2 linked regions of the Struthio camelus genome follow. The protein of the gene in region 2 interacts with the protein of the main gene of each other region in a pairwise test. Links are inferred from orthologs where the notes say so. Each region holds a gene or a part of one and is shown on either strand. Other genes may lie near its edges.

What was found.
Region 1: the proteins of RHOJ (region 2) and PAK2 interact in binary tests that used the Homo sapiens proteins (3 or more experiments, as listed by UniProt). The two-hybrid records come from large-scale screens. The link is inferred for Struthio camelus from reciprocal best matches to the Homo sapiens genes RHOJ and PAK2.

The regions. Positions count from the first base shown.
Region 1 is NC_090950.1:2,563,132-2,570,338, forward strand, and holds the start of PAK2 (serine/threonine-protein kinase PAK 2), read left to right. Parts: upstream 1-4,190; 5' UTR 4,191-4,250; intron 4,251-6,454; exon of another isoform or gene 6,455-6,601; intron 6,602-7,207. UniProt on the Homo sapiens protein: Serine/threonine protein kinase that plays a role in a variety of different signaling pathways including cytoskeleton regulation, cell motility, cell cycle progression, apoptosis or proliferation.
Region 2 is NC_090946.1:76,023,689-76,031,393, forward strand, and holds the start of RHOJ (rho-related GTP-binding protein RhoJ), read right to left. Parts: upstream 3,015-7,705; 5' UTR 2,458-3,014; coding exon 2,280-2,457; intron 1-2,279.

The DNA.
Region 1 (7,207 bases), on a different chromosome or scaffold from region 2:
GCATTGAGATCCACTGATCGGCTTCTAGACTGAGCCTTAGTAATATTTATTCTTGTTGATGTAAAATTTGAGAGAAATCACAGAATTTCTCAGTGAATGTTTTTTGCTGTGGCAAATAGCAATGATTTGCTGGTTTTAAATTCATAGCAGTTGTGTTATAAAAATACAGTAGACAGGTTCTTCTCTAAAAGCTGTAATGTCAGTCATTAGCCAGGGGTCACTGGCAGATGCAGAGGAGCCATAATCCAACCAATTCTCTGTTAAGAAATTCTGGCAGTTTTGGAGACAGAAAGGAGGGGACTGCACGCTAGTTTGAGTTGTTAGCAAGACAACATAGATACAAGAGTCAGACACAAGCGTATACGTTATTGATGAGTGTAAGGATTGAATTAAATAAAGGAATTAAAGCAATAAAAGAAGGGGGAGGGGTACAGGGGGAAAAAGGCACGTTAAGAGTTAAGGGTTCTATCAGAGACTCTGAATCACAAGTGAATGTGCATAATTTAAAAAAAAATACTCTTTTAGTTTGTTCTAAAAAGACATGCCTGGGGAGAGAATGGAATGGGAGGTGGATAAGAGTTGTGAAAAGGCTTTGGGGCAGGACCTGAATGGGTTTGGGGGTACAAAGCTGAATCGGAAAGAAGTAAGGTCATTTTGTAGGAAATGAAAGTAAAGCTGGAGGAGGTGTGAAGAAAGTTTAGAAACCTGCCACAGTTTCTTGAGAAGTACATAACTGTGGAGATTAATTACCAGAACTTTTAGTGCTGAAAGGGATTAATAGGGAGTTGAGTCTAAGCAGGGAGAATGACAAAGCAGCATGCGAAGAGAAGTGGGGACGATGGCCTTGTCTGCAGTAGGAAGGAGACCAGAACAGTTGCCACTGGCCACAGCAGGGTCACTGCAGAGTACTACTCCTGGAATAATGCAGTGGAAATATTGGAGGTCTATGGGGGCATGTGTTCTGCAATCACTCACTCTGCATTAATTCTGTGGAGCTTAACAGAGATGATGACCAGCAAATGTGGGCTGAAAGCAGCAGAAGCTGGAAAGGCTGTTTTGCACTGTTTGTCCCTGGACGTGTGGGCAGGTACCAGGCCGTAATGGTAGCCGCCTACTTTTCCCAGACTTCTTACGAAAAGGATCTGCCTGACATGCTTTCTTTTCTTTCTGAAGGAAAAATCAGATGTTGCTTCAAGCCTGGGTTGAAGGAGGAGGTCAGGTCAGAGCTGCAGGGCAGGTGGATGTTTGGGTAAGTCATCTGGAAGATTAAATATGTCATAGGAATTTTGGGGGAGTAGGAGTTTCGAGGGCAAGTATGCTGCTTTCTCAGCTGTGCTTGCTACTACAGCTCTTGGTACCTGGGCGTTAGAGTAACTACAGAAGAGGTGGTGCAGGTCACTAATGACAGGACATGGTAATGCTGGCAGTGACTCTGGGTTCTGCTGCTGTAGTTCACATATAGTCCTTTTGGCAATACCGTCAAGACACCGAGCTGCAAGGATTCGTGGAATTGGAAGCACGTGGATTATTCTAAGTTAGAGGGAGAACGGTTAATTTGTCATTGGCTATGCTAATACAAAAACAAGCTCCTTCCAGCACATTAAGGCAAGAGGAAGGCCGAGCATAGCATAGCTGAGGACGGCAAAGCACAGCCCTCTGGTGCTCTTGGACGCCCCTGCCAGAGGCAGCAGCTGCTCCACAAGCACGGCGGGAAGCCCCCATGCTGCAGTAAACAAGTTTTAACCAACAAATCACAGAATGGCTAAGGTTGGAAGGGACCTCTGGAGATCTTCTAGTCCAACCTCCCTGCTAAGCACGGTCCTCCAGAGCATATTTCCCAGGATCACAGACGAGTTTTGAATAACTCCAGGGAAGGAGACTCCACTACCTCTCTGGGCAACCTGTTCCAATGCTCTGTCACCCTCACAGGAAACACGTTTTTTCTCAGGTTCACATGGAACTTCCTGTGGTTCAGTTTCTGCCCATTGCCTCTTGTCCTGTTGCTGGGCACCACAGAGAAGAGACTGGCCTCATCCTCTCGACACTCCCCCTTCACATACTTGTACACGTTGATCAGATCCCCTCTCAGTCTTCTCTTCTCCAGGCTACACAGGCCCAGCTCTCGCAGCCTTTCTTCCGAGGAGAGATGCTCCAGTCCCCTCATCCTCTTTGGAGCCCTCCGCTGGACTCTCTGCAGTAGGGCCATGTCTCTCTTGGGCTGGGGAGCCCAGAACTGGACACAGGACTCCAGGTGAGGCCTCGCCAGGGCTGAGGAGAGGGGCAGGATCACCTCCCTCCACCTGCTGCCAACACTCTGCCTAAGGCACCCCAGCAGACCATTGGCCTTGGCCACAAGGGCACATTGCTGCCTCATGCTTCACTTGTTGTCCACCAGCACTCCCAGGTCCTTCTCTGCAGAGCTGCTTTCCAACAGGTCCACCCCCAGCCTGTCCTGCTGCCTGGGGTTATTCCTGCCTAGGTGCAGGAGCCTGCCCTTGCCTGTGTTGACCTTCAGGAGGTTCCTCTCCGCCCAACTCTCCAGCCTGTCCAGGTCCCTCGGAATGGCAGCACAGTCTTCTGGTGTGTCAGCCACTCCCCCCCAGTTTAGGATCATCAGCAAACTTGCTGAGGGTGCACTCTGTCCCTTCCTCCAGGTCAGTGATGAATATGTTGAACAAGACTGGAGCCAGGACTGACCCCTGGGGGACACCGCTCGCTACAGGCCTCCAACTAGACTCTGCGCCACTGACCACAACCCTCTGAGCTCGGCCATCCAGCCAGTTCTCAAGCCACCTCACTGTCCACTCATCCAACCCGAACTTCCTGATTTTACCTAGGAGGATGTGATGGGAGACAGTGTCCAAAGCCTTGCTGAAGTCCACGCAGACAACATCCACTGCTCTGCCCTCATCTCCCCAGCCGGTCATCCCATCACAGAAGGCTATCCGACTGGTCAAGCATGATTTCCCTTTGGTGAATCTGTGCCGACTACTCCTGATCACCTTCTTGTCCTCCATACGCTTAGTGAGGACCTCCAGGAGGAGCTGTTCCATCACCTTGCCCGGGATGGAGGGGAGGCTGACAGGCCTGGAGTTTCCTGGCTCCTCCTTCTGGCCCTTTTTGAAGACTGCGGTGACACTGGCTTTCTTCCAGTCCTCAGGCAGCTCTCCTGATTGCCATGACCTTTCCAAGAGGATGGAGAGTGGCCTAGCGATAACATCCGCCGGCTCCCTCAGCACTCGTGGATGTATCCCATCGGGGCCCATGGATTTGTGGGTGTCAAGTTTGGACAAAAGATCTCTAACCTGATCCTCCTCCACCAAGGGAGAGTCTGCCTTTCTGCAGCCTTCCTCTCTTGTCCCCAGAGTCTGGAATTCCTCAGCACTGGCCTTAGCAGTGAAGACTGAGGCAAAGGCGGCATTCAATAACTCTGCCTTCTCTATATCCTTTGTTATCAGGGCACCCGCCCCATTCACCAGTGGGCCCACATTTTCCCTAGGCTTCCTTTTGCTATTGATGTACTTGAAGAAGCCCTTCTTGTTGTCCTTGTCCTCCCTTGCCAGATTTAATTCCAACTGGGCCTTAGCCTTCCTCGTCGCATCCCTGCACACTCTGACAACGTCCCTGTATTCCTCCCAAGTGGCCTGTCCCCTTTGCCACATTCGGTACGCTTCCTTCTTCTGTTGGAGTTTGGCCAGGAGTTCCTTGCTCAGCCACGCAGGTCTCCTGCCCGCTTTGCTGGACTTCTTCCTCAGAGGGATGCACCGGTCTTGAGCTTGGAGGAGGTGATGCTTGAGCATCAAATGAAGTATTGGGGAAATAATGCCAAATTTCAAAGAAAAAGCCAGAAGATAGAAGAGAGGTGTGAGTTTAAAAGACGTCCTTGTCCTTTATTTTGTCTTGAGGGTGTTTGCTTTTGTCAGCTGTGGGGATGTGCAGAGACTGCCTCTGATCGCCTCACTCCTGGCGGTGACGCTACTGAAGCAGCGTTAATTTGCTCTATAGGGAACCGCGTCCAGGGCCTGTAGAGCCGCCGCTGCCGGAGGTAGCGCCGCTGCCTCCGGCGCCATCTTGGGCCGCTTGCCCCAGACTACGCGTCCCGTGAGGCCCCGCGCGCCGAAGCGCCGCCGCGCGGCCTGCCGGGAGTTGGAGTCGGCGTGCGGCGGCGCCCCGCCCCTGCCCGCCCTCGCGGGCTGTGGCCGCGCGTGGCGGTTCCGCTTCCCCCTCCGGCTCCTGCCGCCGCCGCCTCGGTGGGTCCCGCCGCCGCCATTGCAGGAGGCGCCGTGTGGCGGCCGCGCCCCGTCCGCCCCGCCGCCCCCTCTCGCCCCCGCCGGGCCGTCTGCAGAGGCGGCAGGCGCTGCCGCCATCCCGGTGAGTGCCGCGGCGGCGGCCCGCTCCCACCTGCCGCCGCGTCGCCGCGCCTTCCGCCCTTTGTGGCCTCCTGCGCGGCCGCGGGCCTCTGGCGGGCCCGGGCGCGCCGTCTCGGCCGGGCCGCCGCCCGCCCTGCCCGCCGGCCGCCGTGGGGGGTGCGCGGGTCGCGGCGGGGCCAGCTCGGCCGGGCCGTGGCACCGGGCTGCGCCGCGGGAAGCCGCGGTGGCGCCGCGGGCGCCGGCCTGCGCCGAGCGCGCTGCCCCGGGGGGCTGGCCGCGCCCGCGGCGGCGATGCGCTGGCGGGAGGCGCAGCGGGGGCGCTGCCCGGGGGAAACGGGGCGGCGAGCTGGCGAGGAGAGAGGCCGCCTGGTCGTTTGGTGATCCGGAGGAGCTGTGGTGCGCTCGCCGCCGTTGCCGCGCGGCGGTGGCTGGCCGGAAAGCGGTGCCTGATGTTGCTGTAATGCTGATTTGCCCTCTGTGGGCCAGTACTGCGGGAACTCAGCAGGCGCTTTCTGAAGCCCAAGGGTCACCTCCATCCTCTGTCCCCTGCCGCCCCCCTCCCGACACGTCCCTTTCTGCCTCAGGGCTGGGCGCGGTGGTGGCACCCCCAGAGCAAAGAGCAGTCTGTCCCGAGGAAAACAGTACACCCTTCACAACAGCCTTCGTTGTTGTCAGATCGCTTAAAGTGGGGGGAAAATTAGCGTCAATGTATCTGTGAAAAACTCTTAAAGAAAAATCTGTACAAGTACGGAAATGTAGTGCAGAGAGCTTTTGGTCACATGCTTTCCTACAGTGAGTGAAGGAATCCGAGTACTGCAGCAGGTTATGAATCTTTCTTTGGAGCTGCTGTGATACCCTTTTTATACTAGACCGTAATGTAACTGCTACTCTTTGTGTGCTCTTCTGTTTGTTTTTTCTCTTTGCTGTGTTTTCTGTTTAGTTTTTGTTAGTGCGTTTTGCCTTCCGTTCTGTCCGTGCTGCCTGCCCGACAACAGTAGATGTCTAATGGTAGGCTGATCAGGGAATTGGGAAAAAAAATTTGGTTTAGCCTGAGCTCAGGGACTGGTGTGTACAAGCAACTGCCGGAAGGTTTGTCTGGGAGCAGACAGTTAATCAGCTAGCTTTCAAAGAGCAATACTGCACTTTGCCTGTAGCCAAAATAAATCCATTTACATGCTGTCTTATGGTAAGTGAAAGCAGGCCAGATATTGCAGCATTTTTATTAATAATCCTCATTATTTTGGAGGTATTGCAATAACTGGGATAGTAAGCACAATGACTGGGATAGTAAGCACAATTTGAGCATGGAATTTTGTGTCTTTTTTGTTTTTTATCTTCTTGCTCCTGCCTTTCTCCATTTTTCTCTTTCTTTATGTCTCTCTCTCTCTCTCTCTCCTCTCTCTCTCTCTCTCTTTTTTTTTTTTTTTAAAGATAGGCTTGCTCTTGGGCTTTTCAGTATGGTGCAGCCTTCACAATGTGAGCCCTGAAGTGGTATGTGGCTAAAAATCAGGGGACTGAGTACTTTGTGGTTCGGTTTCTCCGTTTAGGAGATGGAATTAATTTAATGCACAAAGATACTGTAGAGGCAGACTTACAAATATCCGTACATAACCAAGTGTGCTGTACCAGTTTTATGCCACCATAGGACTAAGAAATTAGTCATTTTATTATTGCAGACTAATAGACTGAAATAGGAGCAGTGTAGAAATGTAAAAATGTAAAGCCTTTGCATGATGAGATTTTGAGGAGAATCTTCAAGATCACAGGAGCACTTCAAAACAACTCGCCAAGTAATGCTTTAGATGAAGGAAAGGCCTATGACGGTGGGGGTATATTTCCATTCTTGGGGTAGAACAAAAATATTTTTGAAAGCATAGTGCAGATTCTCTGTATTGTCTAAGTTGCATGTGGGATTTGACTCTGCTTTATGTAGACATAGTTATTCAAAAAAAATGTTGGGCTAGGAAATGGTCAATAATACAAACGTTTTCAGCTGCTGTCTAGATATTTTGCATGTTTTAGCTGAGGGCAAAGTGTTTCAGTGGATCAGAGGTGCATGTGCTCTGAGTTGTTTTATAGGACGTTGTCAGGATCTCATTCACTGGGATGAAATTTATGCCAGCTTAACCTGAAAGTTTGGCCAATTGGGGGAGTTTTTCTGAGGCACCTGTTACTGTTTCCTGTCTGGAATAGCTGCTGGAGTAGATGGATGGATGCTTTGACCATGTATGGTAGGTCTAATCTGCTTACTTTAAAATGTGTCTTAAAAAAATCATGCACACTTGCATTGTTTAAATTAGCGTTTCAGTTATGTTTGAAAGGAAAAATTATCAAGCAACTTCATTTTCTAAATAACTTTAGGATAAATGTTAAAGGCTTTGATGCTGTTAATTTCGTTCTTTTGATATCAAATGTGAAAAGCAGCAGGAATCTGAATATAGGTCTCTGTTTTACTAGTAACAGCTACCTCCATTTCAGAATTCTCTTATCTGTCTTTTTTTTCCCCCTCCACCTTTCACATGTCTGTGCGGTAGCCACAGTTGGGAAAATAGTTAATTTGTTTTGGAAACAAGTCCTAGTTATAGAGACAGTGTTCTAAATGACTGGGGCCAGTGATAACTTGAGCAAAGCTCTGGTGACAGAGAGTTGAGCTCTAGCAGAAAGCTTTGAGAGTGAGTTGTCTTAAGAAAACATTGAGGAGGAAAAGAAGGGGCTAGGGGAGGCATAGTGGTGGGAAGAACAAGAAGACGGAGAGGTCTTGAGCAGCTGGGCATGATGCAGTCAAGCCAAGCTGCCTACTTAGCTCAGCTGTCTGAAAATGCAGCTTCCTTAACTTT
Region 2 (7,705 bases):
GCTATGAATTTGGAGGTAAGCATACTTCAAGTGAGTTCTTCCCTCTCTCAATATCCACACTACATTAAAGTATTTTAATAGGCTGTGTTATATTCTATGCCATATAGTATTTTTTTATTATATAAACTGTTTCTTCTGGCACTCTGCTCCAGAAGTCGTTTCCACATCTCAGTTCTGGGCGCTGCTTTGTAGTGAGATTGATTTAGAAACGATGGGATTGCTCAAAGAATGGAAATTCCGTTTCTGATCAATGCTAGCTTTAACCACTGGAGCTGGGCAGGATTTGTCTCAGAATAGCATGTTGATATGCTATTGTTTTCCTTACCTTTCTAACCTCTCTCATTAAAAGCACTCTTAATTTCTATCAGTGGGCTGTAATAGGTAAAGAAGCAAATAACAGCTGGAGATATTTGAGAGGTCTACATCTCCAGAGCATGAAAAAGTAGCTTCATTTAAAAGTGCATGCGTACTACTTTCACCTGGTACACTAGGGAAATGAGGATTATGCAGTGATACTCTTCATCTGCCTGTCGTTCTCTCAGCCCCCCCCCCTTCTCCCTCAGTAGTTTTTGAACCAGCTGGCGTTTTCTACCACCTCAGACAGAGAGGAAAAGAAGTCAAAGCCAGGCGCTGCGAGTCACCTGTGGCTGCGCAGAGGAGGGAAACGCACCTAGATGTCCCACCCTGAGCACTGGCAATAGCGCGCACGTGTGTACGCTTCCCTTACGCCTGCACCTATCCCACCCGCTCAACATATATGTGGCCTGGTATTGGCTATTGTATGGGTGTCTCCGTACGCGATGATGTTTGTGGGGCAAGGGAGAGCACGAGAGTGGGGGACTGGGAGCAACCGGGGCACGAGGCTGCAAGGAGCAAGCAGAACTCAGGTTATCCCAGCAAAGTGGGGGTTATTGGCATTTAATACATCCCTGGAGCCAGGCTTCCTTAGCTTTTTTGGCTTGTGGAAGTACTTATTTACATCACCTTTTTTTTTTCTTTTTCATTTCTTATCTAAAAAAACTTTTTCGAAAACGATCGTTTAATCTATGTGGTGGGAAGGGCAGAGGAAAGGGAGCGCTGCTTGCATCTCGCAGTGACGCTGCCCACACTTGCGGAGCAAAAGGTCCTCATATTTCCATGGGTCAGATGCTGCAATTACACAGCTTTCTTGTTTGGCCAGTTCATCTGCTAAACCTGACACGAAGCCAGAGTGAAAACAGAGATTTTCCCATTACAGAATACCAAATCTATGATAAGCCACGCCATGAAAATCCAGTTTTTAAGGAGAGGGAGAGAATGAGGGAAACTCCAACTGCTGCTGCGAGATAAGCAATGAGTTTTGCAGGGCTTCTAAAACCTACTTTTTGGTAACAACAACTGTAAACTTAAGGAACAGTGAGATAAGAAAAACAACAGAATCTAGAATAAAAAAATTTAAGTAGCAGTTTGAGCAACAGTTTTAGCATATCACACCATCCACATGATAACTTTAGACGCTGCTGGGTAAAGTAAGTAGTTGCTACAGAAAGAGGCTTGCAAATATTGAATTTAATATGTGGGTCTGTTTTGGACAGTGGACATCATTTATGTTCTTTGTAACTTTCATATTTTTTTGTTCTATGACAAATTTCCTCACTATAAAGTACTCAAATCAATCAGCAGTTCTGCTTTCCTCACAGTCAAGTTATAATATTAAATTCTATTTATAAATGTAGCAGCAAACACATCTGAAAGGAGAGAGAGTTATTATCCTGGTAGCACTGAAAGAGACTATGCTGGTTTTCTCCAAGATTATTCCTTAAGTAGGATATAAGTATTGTAATTCATGCATCATTTGCCATGATGCAGAAGATGACCAAAAAATGTAAATTTTTATGTGCATGTATCATCTTTATAATAACTGCAGCCCACACAGTTCAAAACTTCATGATTTAGAAACAGACCAGGCAGCTGAGCATAACCTGACGGCGGCTGTATGATATTTGTTGTCTCTAAAAGCCAGCGGATTTAATTGTGTCTCTAACGCTGCTTATTTGCCACAAACAAAATACAAATTGGAAGCAAACAAATAAGTTCTCTGAATAAATCCTGCATTGCCCCAATTGTATGAGCTGCCATCTAAGCTGTCTGGCCACAGTCCAGGCCTGAATCACATTCCTGGGCTAGAAGTAACCCATGTGTCCCCTTTGAACTGTCCTCTTCGGTCCTTGATCTTCCTTTACCACCCACCTGGCCCTTCTGCAGCTCTTAATTACATTTCTTTGAAAGCTCTTTCTTACCTGCATAGTGGTCAAATACAGTGGGCACATACTCCTCGGGGAAAGCGTCGTTGGCATAACTCATCAGCAGACAGGTTTTCCCGACTGCACCGTCCCCAACCACCACGCATTTTAACATCTTCTTGGTGTTGTTGCTGCTGCCGTCAGTGCAGTTGTCATCTTCTTCCTTGCAGTTCATTCTTGCTGCTGCTGCTGCTGCTGCTGCTGCTGCTCCCAGGACTTCCAAGTGCACATGAAGGAAAAATGAAGTGCGATTGTATTGACTTTTCCTGAGTTTGGAGGGGCGGTGGGGGGTGGGGGGGGGAGAATCTCAAACTCAGGAAATCATACTAATGTTTCCAGGCTGTCACAGCCGCTTCTAACAATTACCAGAGCAGTCAAGAGAATCATCGAGGTGAATAAATTAAATATATAGAGAGAGGAGTAGCATTAAAAAAAAAAAAAAGGCGATTTGTCCGTTCTTGTGAGTCCGAGTCAGGAAATCCTCATCCTGCCCCAGAGTTCGGTCTTTATTGCAACTTGAAAAATATCAGCAGCCTGCGGCTTTGATTCGCTTCTCCCTTCCTCCGGCTTGGCTGCAGGAATCAGAGATTCCTGCTAAATCCGCTCCATTTTCCATTTCATTTCTAACATGGAGGAAAGCCTGGAGGTTTTTAATGGAGTTTTTCCTTTCTTTCTCCAGCTTGCTGTGTGTCAGGAAATCATGGGTTTCCTGCTGAATTCCATATTAGGATCAGTGGGCTTGTGAAGGGCTGCAAACAATGGGAGCTCTGTGTGTATTTGTACTTCGGGGGAACTCTGCCAGGACGTGGAGAAAGAAAAACACTAGAGGTCCCTCTGCAGACTGAAGTTTTAGGCTTCCTGCTCCATCCCGCGCTCGAGCTGCTCTCCGGCAGGGAGACCCGGGAGGAGGATTTTTGCCTGGCGAATGCTGCCAAAGATGTGGGTATTGGACCTAAATGGCGAAGCAGGGTACGGCGAGGCTGTGAACTGTGTGGTCCTTGCAGGGTTATCTGCCCTTCCCAGGTGTGTTCTTCTCAGAGTGTCTGGGGAGAGGTGTTTTCATACGTTTGGGAGGGGAATGAGGGAGGCAGAAAAGCAGGCTGAAGGTATAATGGGTAGGTATCATTTAATGCAAACTTTCTCTGTATCTATAGCACTTAAAAATATATTTAAAAATACTAAATCATTGATTCTTCAAGTCACGCATTCAGAAAGTATCCCTTTCACTTCCCCCTCATCCACTCCAAAAAAGAAAAAGAGAGATTCCCCTTCCCCCCTCAGTGTAAGTGTGTAAACACAGATGGGGCTAGAGAGGCAAAAAAAGGAATTAAATATTACCAGAATTAGAAAAAAGAGTGCTATGCCCAGCATCTGCTGTGACACAGCATCACTGTGGGATTTCTCCCAGTTAGGAGTACAGGTGACATACTTTTAGCTTCAAAACTTCAGCCCAACAACCTAGTTCATCTAGCAAAACCTGTGAGCTCTGGGCACCCAAAACCCGATTCTCCAAGCAGTTACTATATTGATTAATTCCTCCATCAGCATTTTGGCTGGATCACCCTTGGGGAATCAAGAATTACAAAGTTTTGTTCGTTTAGCTTCTTTCTTACCGTAGTTGGGACAAATCTAAAAATCTGATCTTGTGCCTCTCTTGTAGTTATTAAAGAGCTGGGTGCTGATCCCCTTCCATGCCTTTGCTTACCAGCCTATTGACCTTGTTAGGTAAGTTCGCCAAATACACGATTAAGCACATTTTGTCACAAGGTAACTGCAAAGCCCAAGGAAGCAAAAATTCGCATAATTCATGGCTCAATTCCCAAATGCAACAACTATCTCACTTCCCATTTTACATTGGCATAAGTTATCTGCAAGCTTTTTCAACATCAGACATCCCTCCCATTGAGGCAGACCTTAATGTTAGTGAACCTGGTTTAGGCCTACAACAGCAGAGGGTTGTGGGACACTCCTGCGCAAACTCCCCACGGCTCAGTGCTCCACACTCAGCCGGGCTGTACTCGGGGGCTGCAGAGTATATCCAAGCCCCACACTTTTGTTTGGAAGGATCAGCTTCATCTTCATCAGCACACCTCTGACAGAGAAATCCCTGGAGCTGCTTTCTTGTGAACCGGCAGGGCTCAAGGCCAGTGCAAAAGATTCCAGCAAGAGGCTCTCTATGAGATGAGGGACTTGCAAATTTGAGAGCTAATTTGTTAATTAGCTCTGCAATGAGCAATACGTTAGCCAATTAAATCCATTCTATATTTCTCTTGCAGGCAAAGCAAATCAAGGTGAAAAAGAGGATATGATGTTGTATCACTCTTTGCCTGCTCCCTTCCACTAGCCAACCCAGTTACAGCTGCATTTTCTCTCCAGTGCCTCCTGCAATGCAGTGGTCTTCCTTGGTACAACATTATGAGCTTAAAACTTGTAAGTCAGAGGAATTTTCGCCATAACTGCTTATAACCTTATCAAACCTGACTGCCTGGATCTGATAGAGTCCTGACCTTGCCTTGGGTCGTGTCCTCCGAAGCTCTTCCTTTCCTCTTCCCTTCTTTGCTTAAACCAAGCAGATTGGTCTCTGCCTTCCTGTCCATAAGAGGTAGTCCCATAGAGTGGGAGAATTTAAAGGTGGCTGCATTACTGTGAAGTTTTTCTCCCCACCCCTTGCTGCTCTTGGACAAGATTCCTTGTCCATCCTCTTTCCTTCCACCTACCAGCACTGGTACGGGAGGTGCTGGGAGGTTTCTGGGCCTGCTATGGAGCTCAGTCCCACTTCATCTACGAGCACGGCTAGCTTTGGGGATTGCTGCTGGTCTGACGCTTGCAGGCTGCTTTCCCTTGCCAGCCTTCTGGTTCTCTCCATAGCGCAGCCCTCAGTTTCCTCCCTCCTTGGGACCTCCAGCCAGCCTGTTTCTAGCCGCTGGCAGCATCCCTATTATGTGGTACCTCCAGGTCCTGCAGGCTTATCTGGGCCAGACCAACTGCCTCATCCAAACTGCATGCTCCGAAGCCTCTCAGGATGTTTGTAAAGGTGTTGCCTCCTGCATCAGCGCTGAAACTAGGTTTGGCTGCCTGAATTGATATCGTGATTTAATATCAACAGCAGAGTGCATTGGATTCTTTGAGCCTCTCTTTCTAGATGTTCTCTGGAAATGATAGTGGGACCAGATCTACAGAAGGAGGAAAAATGGTACTGCATAGGTGACTGCAGCAGGTCCTATGCTCTGGAGAGAGTCACTGCAGCCTAGAAAAGAGAGCACAGATGTGGGAATTAAGTTTCTGGCACCGCTAATGAACTGTAAATTGACTTTAGGCAAATCATCTCACATTTTTTCCTACCCTTTGTCTAATCTATTTAGACTGTCAGAACTTTTTAGTGCAGTGACCCTATGGGTATTGAAGTGAGCTTAACAGAACCCCATCTTCTAAATCTTCTAGATGACATCATAAGATGAAGGAACCACAGTTTTAGGATAGTGGTCATGAAGATCTCCAAACTGTTTATTAACAAAACACTTCTACTGTGGAAATCAGAGCTGTTTTTGTATAGTCTAACTAGATTCTCAGATATACAATATATTTGCAGGGGGCTGCCACGGACTCTGTTACAATGAGTGGATTTGTTTTCATAGGAATTTGATAAATTAATGTCATTTTGCTTCCATGCCTCCAAACTTTGAAGAAACTCTTACATTGTGCCTTCCTTTATTACTTCCTCCATATTTAGGCAAAGAGGAAAAATTTATCTAAGAGCATTCATCAGAAACAAGGGTTCTTAGTTCTCCACAGTCTCAATTTCCTCAGAAATGAGATATTTTCACAATGATCCCTTGCCTACTTGTAATGTGAAGAAAATTTTCCATGCATTCAGATTTGCATCCTGCATCAGAGAAAAATCTTTTTTCATGTCAGTCAGAGTCTTTGAGAGGCAGATTAACAAAATGGGACTGCAAAGCTTAATTATCACTGTGAGGTTCCAAACCAGGTTTCCCTGGCCATCAGATTCAGGACCTTTTCTGCACGATGATATAGTAAGAGCCAGACCCTGTGCAGTTAAACAAATTCTAGACCAGTGTACTTAGTGTCTCCTAACACTTGCTGCTTGGTGGTTCCATACTGGTGCTCCATATAGGAACTGAGAGAGGGAGACAAAACTGATTTTAAGCCATCCTCACATTGACCATATTCTCAGGGTGCCATTGTGGACCCTAGTCTTATTTGAGGCAGCCTTGTGTTGGCTCCTCTTTCTGCTTGAGTTGCCTGTATGTCCCTCCACATTGTGCTGAGAATAACTGAAATGAGGACCCTGTCCCTATTCCTTCCTTCATCTGCTCCCCTTTCTTGCTGGCAGCTCCATCTGTCAACCTCCCACCCAGATGAAATGACCATTGAGACCTCAAGTGAATTTGATATGTTGAAAAGCAGAAGCAGTAAATGAGGGAGGTAAAATAACAGTTTAACGTTAACCACAGGCGGGATGGAAGTACTCTGTGTGAAGCAGAGGCAGTTTGCTGAAGGGCAGGTGCTGAGGGTTGGCTTTGAGGCGTGTTGAGTGAGAGCAGGCCTCTCTACAGCCATCACACGCCATCAGTCATGCTGCCACCACTACCACCGCCACCATGGTGGTCCATGTGAGCAGCAGGGGGTTTCCTGTTTCAGGCTGCTGCCATGGATATAATTAGTGTCATTGGGTTTCCCTTCTGAAAGACGAGTTTGTAAAACAAATGACTTTTGGGAGATGAGGTCAAGCAAAGAGTGATTCAAGTCCTGCCCATCGGAGTACCCTCATCTGTGAACTTGCTTCCAAAGCTGCTGTATAATGAAAATTGTACGTGGTGTGTTTGTGTGTGTGCGAGTGACGGACGATTCTTTTTAGCTGGGAAGGGTGGTGTTCGGCTTGTTAATTTATGCTGCATCGTGGTGACTGTGGGCAGTACTGTGTTACTTACCCATCAGTGCAGCGCGTGGTTCTTGTCCGGTATCTGTATGTCCAGCAGATTTGTTTATAGCCGTTTGCATTTGGACTTAGGGGGTGAGTTTTCCTTGGAGATGTGAAACGATGGTGGCACCCATGCATCTGGAGGTCTGATGCGCCCCTCCAATTTGCAGCAGAATTCTCTGGTTTCCTTCCAGAAAAGAGCTGGCTGTCACCAGTGCTTTCTCTCCTGATTTCCCTCTTGCATGGCTGTCTCATCTCCATTTCCATTCATCTTCTACTCCCTCTCCCTCTCTGTACAGTGGATATATGACAAAAGCTGTTTAACCCTTGCCCTATGCTGCAAGACAATGGAGCAAAGTGAACGAGGCATGTGTTCACCTTGGGATTAGCAGAGCAGGAAAAATACCACTTTAGGCAATTTCTTCCTCCCTACCTGTTGTGTTTTCCACACAGGATTTTTTTTTTCTCTAAATTACATTTA